Tribolium castaneum: one gene and its partner. Each later gene encodes a partner of the first gene's protein in a complex. Links are inferred from orthologs where the notes say so. Each region holds a gene or a part of one and is shown on either strand. Other genes may lie near its edges.

Region 1 (4,433 bases):
AAACATCAAAAAAAAGAACATTTGGACTTTTTGTGGACTTTTAACAACTTTTGTGGGTTGTTAAGACATGTAGAAGTTCATAAAAATTTGCTGGAGTTAGTTTAAAAAAAAATTTTTTTTCACCTCTTTGAAGGTAAGTGTGTATTTTAATCAGAAAATTTGAGCAAAAAAATTGAAAATTTTAAATTGTGTGAAAAATTACTATAATAGAGAAAAAAAGCCTCTGTATCCAATGGAACAAACCGCACTGCTCTACGACTTTTAGTTTTCGAGTTATGAATTTTTTTAATGAAAAAAATTTTTCACTATGACAAATGGCTACCCTAAATTTAGGCAAAAAATTTTAAATTTTTAATTCTTGTGAAAAATTGATATAATATGTAAAATGAGCCGTAGAATTCAATCGAACAAACCGCAATGCTCTACGACTTTTAGTTTTTTTTTTATGAATTTTTTTAGTGAAAAACTTTGATCGCCTCTGTAGCCGGAACCGTTGCCCGGAGAGGCTCCGGGTTTGGTCGAAAAAATAGATAAAATTACGCGCTATTAGATGGTTTTTTGTTCGTTGCTCTAGGTCTTACAGTTTCCGAGAAAAACGCAAAAAAAGGTTTTCATTTTCACTTTTTTTCAATTTTCAATCGCCAATTACGACGAAACTATTAAAGATATCGAGAAACGGAAAAATGAAGGATAACCGGAATAAAAAACTCTACAAAATGGCATAGGACTTAAGGCGATATCTCGCAATAAAATTTTCAATTTTCAAACGCCGATTACGGCCAAACTAAAAGAGCTAGAAGAAAACGGTTTGTTCCATTGTAAAGAGCACATCAAAATCTATAAGATAAAATAGGTTTTATTTGATTTTGAGACACTTTAAAAATTGACCGATTTTAAGGGGGGGGTGTTAACTTTTTTTTAATTTTTTTTATTTTTTTATTTACTACTAAACTATTCCAAAAAGTGGAAGTTTTTTGATCCATACCTATGCAAAATGATCCGGGGAATCGATTGGCATCGAGAAAATTGCCAAATTCCCAATAGTTTTTTAGTTATGAATTTTTAAAAATTTTACCAATTTTTGCATTTAGCAGCAATTTGCTCGAAAACTATTAGTCGGAGAACAATAATCTTTTTTGAAAAAAATAGATAATTTAAAGAGCTTTCCAACGATGGGACACTTCATAGAGTTATCTCTAATAGTTCCGGAGCTATTGCTCGAGAAATGTTCCGGGTACCCAAAACCGACAAAAACTGCGACGAAAATTGAAAAAATCAAACATCAAAAAAAAGAACATTTGGACTTTTTGTGGACTTTTAACAACTTTTGTGGGTTGTTAAGACATGTAGAAGTCCATAAAAATTTGCTGGAGTGATTTAAAAAATTTTTTTTTTATTTTTGTGAAGATAACTACTCAAATTTTAAGCAAAAAATTTCAAAATTTTTAACCTTGCAAAAAACAGGTATAAAACGTGAAATAATGTGTCGCAGAATTCACTGGACCAAGTATTTTATTTAAGTTTGGCGCTCTGTTTAAGCGACAGACCTACTAACTTACCGACCCAGTAAATGCCAGTTGACAGACAGACAGTCAGCCACAGCACCTCCCATGAGCAGTCAGACCTAGTAAATGTATTTTTTTAGTTAAAAACCACAATTCCCAATCATTTAAAATGATTTTGCTTGAGACAAACAATCGGGTAGTTGAAGAGACATTAACCGTGAAGATAAAAAGTGCCCAAGCCGGGTAAGTCCCTTATTTACATTAAAAAACCGACCGGTAGTTTCGGGGTGAGGCTTTTATCGCCAAATTCAGGCGCAACTTTATCACCAGCATTATCTAAACTCGGCTCACAAGGAAAATCTCCCAAACCATTGAAACCAGCCTATCTTTCCAGGTTAAAAAACGAGTCAATCGACATAACAGTATCGGACTTCGACGGTGTTTTGTACCACATTTCAAACCTAAACGGAGACAAAACCAAAATTAGGGTAAGCCCACCCCCGAGTAACCCCACATAAGCGCCCCATTCCAGATAAGCATTTCCCTCAAATTCTACAAAGAACTGCAAGAGCACGGCGCCGACCAGCTCCTCAAGCGCGAGTACGGCCCCCTTCTGGCCGCCCCTGAAGACGGCTACAACGTTTCGATCCTATTCGACCTTGAGAACATCCCGACTGATTGGCCCCAAGTCATCAAAAAAATCGGGCTTTTGAAGCGCAACTGCTTCGCTTCAGTGTTTGAGAAATACTTCGATTTTCAAGAAAACGGAGACGAGGGACAGAAACGTGCGGTGATTCACTACCGCGATGACGAAACAATGTACGTTGAGGCGAAGGCGGACCGAGTCACCGTCGTCTTTTCCACGCGTTTTCGGGACGAAGACGACGTGGTCATCGGGAAGGTGTTCATGCAGGAGCTCAAGGAGGGGCTCAGGGCGTCGCACACGGCGCCCCCCGTGCTCTTCAGCCACCGGGAGCCCCCCCGGGAGCTCCAGAACACCGACGCGAAGGTCGATAACAACGTGGGGTACGTCACTTTTGTCCTGTTCCCGAGACACACGGCAAGGACCACGAGGGACAACACAATAGATTTAATTCACATGTTTCGCCATTATCTACATTATCACATCAAATGCTCCAAGGCCTACATTCACAGTCGGATGAGGGCCAAGACGTCCGATTTCCTCAAGGTCCTGAACAGGGCCAGGCCGGAGAACAAGTCGACAGATAAGAAAACTATAACGTACGTCTTTTTGCTTTTTTAACAACTTATTAGGAGACGAAACGAAGTACAAAATCACAGGGTTTTTTCTCATATTTTTGCGTACGCTGCGAATACGGTTGAAGATACAAAAAAAGTGTAAGGAACAAAGTTGTAGAGAATTAAATTTCCTACAAAAAAGTCCGCGATACCATATTTCTATCTTTAACGGTTTAGCTATAAATTAACTCTCCGATACTTGGCAACCGGTAAAATGAAACAAATCCGTCGCTTGAGCGTCTTTGGACCACTTTGGGGCCAAAATGGTTGAAGATATGGATATGGTCTCGCGGACTTTTTTTTAGCAAATTCAATTCTCTACAACTTTCTTCCTTACACTTTTTTTGTATCTTCAACCGTATTCGCACCGTTTTGAAAAATATGGGGGAGTGCAAATTGGTAAAAGTTTGACATTTTTTTAATTACAGTTTACGATAAATTTTGCTTATGTTGAGAATTTAATGCTTCATCTGTCTGTATTTTTTGTTTTACTAACATAACCAAGGAACAACTGCGCTCTCTGGCGACACTGACGGAACTATCGAGAACGGAGCGTTTTATTTGTACGTCGTTTCGTATCCTAACTTTTAGACATCCGTATCATAATTTAATTGATTGATTTGTTACAGAGGGAGAACTTTCGTTCGACGGGATTGATGTGTATAGTACTAGTGAACTTTGCTTGTAAGATCAGCTCAAAAAAGGACTAATAACTGCCGACAATTTATTAAACTTAACTGTTTCATTCAATTTTCCCATCAGTCAGTTCTTGCACAGCCTCTCTTGCAGTTTATTTATTAAGTCAATCAATTGGTTCATTCAGTACTGAATGCTACAGTTCAGTTAATAGAAGTGCTGATTTTTCAGCTACTTGTGTACATAGATTCAATCTTTTAACCATGTGCTTCCTTTGAAATATGGGTAAGCACATCAATATTGTGAATTATATATTTCTAATACAAAGTTTAATTACATATTTTTTACCCAGTTTGCGAGACGTGTTTTAGGTTTTTTACTATGTATCCGCTTGTTGTTATCATTTTGATTCGGAACGATCCTTTTTACTATTGAGAACTTGAACCGCCAAATAAATTGTATAACTTAACATAGTTTAATAGGTAATAAATGAATCGTCAATTTCTATAGCAGGTTGCAATATTTTCGGATTTCTGTAGGCAATTGGACGCATTCTTCATGCTCATTTCATTTTTATATTACATTAACAGAGCAAGACACTGTTTAATTCAATAATAGAAAATAAAATGTTATTTTAAAGTCTGTGTATCATTTTTTTACCAACTCGAAAACGTGTGGCGACACTTGATTGAACTTTATTAAGCCAGGATGGCCAACTCAAGCAGTCATTTTGGATGACTTGCTACTAACGCGAAATTCCTATTATTTTAAATTATTAAAGGAATTTCAAAAGACTGTATTGAGAGTATCAATAATTGGGTGGGAGCAGCAAACACGCACAATTTTATTTGTAATTTTATTAATCATTTTCGTGCGTTACAGATTCTACAGTAGCGAATTTCTCGCCTGAGACTGACAATAAACCTAACCCTACAATTCCACATTTTTTATTATTCACCGTTAAAAAATGGTTAAAGCGGCATTGGACCCCCTCGTGAATAAAACCCTCAACATCCGTTTATTCCACAGTGT
Region 2 (2,498 bases), on another chromosome or scaffold:
GGTAGCCAACGTGGAAGCGATATGAAGGTAGGTGTATTTTATTGCTGTGTCGTATTTATTTATTTCACAAACTAATAATTTCATAAAACTCAAATTTGTGAAATTTGTGACGTTTGTGAAATTTGTGACGTTTGTGAAATTTTTACTTGTCAGCCGCGCATCGGCACCACGTTTTTCTTCAATAATCTGAAATTTTAAATCCGCCAATAGGATTTCTTTTTCCCGTAAAACACTAAGGCCATCTATCCGCATCATCAGTAAAACCTAATTCAGTGAGGGCTCGATTTGGCTATATCAGTTCGGGATGCCTGGTCACAATCATAAAAAACGTCACCCCTATAAACACAGCCTACTAGCAAAGTGCAGCAGTAAATTTTTTGGGTCAAAAACTTCTATTCGGAGGTTTTATTTGTTCGGAGGCATGATTTTCTAACATCAATTTCTAACATAAACGACAAAAAAAGCGTATTGTTCTATTACTATTCAAATTTCATGTTACTATCAACGTAACTTATTACGTTGCCGGTGAGGAACGATAAGATTTGGTTTCCCAGTGGAAACAAAACAACTGTTTAAAAATGATTTATTCAACTTGCCTTTAAATATACACTGAATGAATTAAATATGAAAATAAAAACACGTATATTATTTAAAATTGCTTACGCCGACCTCGGCCCCAGTTTTTTCAAAACCTTCAAGCCTTGCTCCTCATACTCTTGCTTCGACATCCAAAACGCATCCCGATCCTTCATAACTTCGGCTAAAACTGCTCCACCGATAAAAACCATGTCTTTACGTCTCGGCGGATCCTCAATTCGTATTTTAAACTTATTTAATTTCTCTATGTCATTTTTAAGTACGCGTTCTAGATACAATTGCTTTATTTCACGTTCAAGTCGTGAAGGGAGCCCTGGATACATAGTGGAACCACCTGAGAGTACTATATGTTTGTACAATTCGGGCCTCATGTCAATATCAGCCGCCTAAACAACAAAGCAATATTAAACCAAGCTGTAGAAAAAACAAACCATGCAACCTGTATTGTATTAAAAACAAGCTCAGCGATGCCTTGTCCCTCAACGTTGATTAAATGCGGTTGAAATAATGCTTCAGGGGCCTCAAACCGTTCCCCGCCAACTTTGATCACACGGCCATCTGGCAAAATATAAGGCTCAACCAAAACAGTAGTTTCCAGAGCCAACCGCTGTTCTGTTTCTATATCGTAACCAATGTAACATAATTTTTCCTTCATAATTCGCACGGTTTCAAAATCAGCCGAATGATTAAATGCGTAACCTCTCAGTAGTAATAATTTAATAAGATAGCGGGTGATATCACGGCCTGCTATATCCAGACGTCGGGTTAAATGCGGCAAAGCAAACTCTTCATAAACGGGGCAAATGTGTGTCACTCCGTCACCAGAATCGACAACAACACCCGACAGAAGTCCCTAGAATCAAACATTCATATTTTATTAAAAATAATTTTAATTATGAAGTATTTTTAAATGATTTAAATAACGTCCCTTGGAATTCAGTACTCTATAGGGTTGTTCCATCTAAATCCCACATTAGAAATAACCATTTTCTCCCAAACTAGTGGATAAACCGTTCGCTACCCGAAAGTTATAATTGGCTCTTAACTAATATTTATTATTAAATTTAATTTAATAAATTAATTAATAATTTATTATTAACAATGATAATAGTAATAATAATGAAAAACATTTCGGATGTTAGCAGTTTTTGGGCTCTTCTCAAAAAAATTTTCATGTTTCTAAGCAAAAAATTGATGGAATTGAGATGGAATAAGACTTTTTTTGTTTGTTCTATGAGAATTCTCTTGCTTATAAGCAAAGAATCATCTGTAAGTCGATGTTTCTGGTCAGAATAAGACGTTTACAGCCACTTTTTAAAAAGTTATCTCGTTTTTAAGTGTCTATAATAACAATAGTAATAATAATAACAACAATAAGAACACATTTCGGGTAATATAAGCCGTTTTTTTTAACTTCTCACGAAATTGTTTTGTCTAGAATGATTTGAACTAGAAAAAGTTCAATAATAATAACCAATAATTCTTTTCTGGTAATTATTATTATTTTTGGACCACCAACTGTGTAAACGAACCTGAGCGTATAAAGTGAGTACGGCTTGGACAGCAATATAAGCCCCCGCAAAACCGTACTTTTCGAACATGACTTCGATCATTTTTTCCCGATTTTTCGTGGGGTTCATTGGGGGTTCAGTCAGGAGAATCTAAAATACAAATTTAAAAATTTATAGTCAATTTTTATGATTTTTTGATGTTACTTTAGCATCAGTTGGGTCCAAATTCATTTTTCGGGGGCCAAAAGTGTAGTCCCACACGTGGCACATATCCTCCCAGTTGCGCACAACCCCATTTTCCATCGGGTAATTCACCTCGAGAAGCGATCGCAAAGCGGAAGCTTCATCTCCAACCATCAAGTCCTAAAATTGAAGTTATAATAAAAATTG

Evidence for each region.
Region 2: Arpc2 (region 1) and Arp2 share a complex: the UniProt entries of both Drosophila melanogaster proteins name them as parts of the arp2/3 complex. The link is inferred for Tribolium castaneum from reciprocal best matches to the Drosophila melanogaster genes Arpc2 and Arp2.

The regions. Positions count from the first base shown.
Region 1 is NC_087399.1:3,469,665-3,474,097, reverse strand, and holds Arpc2 (probable actin-related protein 2/3 complex subunit 2), read left to right. Parts: upstream 1-1,564; 5' UTR 1,565-1,674; coding exon 1,675-1,748; intron 1,749-1,899; coding exon 1,900-1,993; intron 1,994-2,037; coding exon 2,038-2,747; intron 2,748-3,394; coding exon 3,395-3,422; 3' UTR 3,423-4,040; downstream 4,041-4,433. Other genes in the region: EKC/KEOPS complex subunit Tprkb, read left to right, coding at 4,369-4,433. UniProt on the Drosophila melanogaster protein: Functions as actin-binding component of the Arp2/3 complex which is involved in regulation of actin polymerization and together with an activating nucleation-promoting factor (NPF) mediates the formation of branched actin networks.
Region 2 is NC_087394.1:25,851,475-25,853,972, reverse strand, and holds the end of Arp2 (actin-related protein 2), read right to left. Parts: intron 2,472-2,498; coding exon 2,313-2,471; intron 2,259-2,312; coding exon 2,130-2,258; intron 1,451-2,129; coding exon 1,037-1,450; intron 984-1,036; coding exon 660-983; 3' UTR 570-659; downstream 1-569. UniProt on the Drosophila melanogaster protein: Functions as ATP-binding component of the Arp2/3 complex which is involved in regulation of actin polymerization and together with an activating nucleation-promoting factor (NPF) mediates the formation of branched actin networks.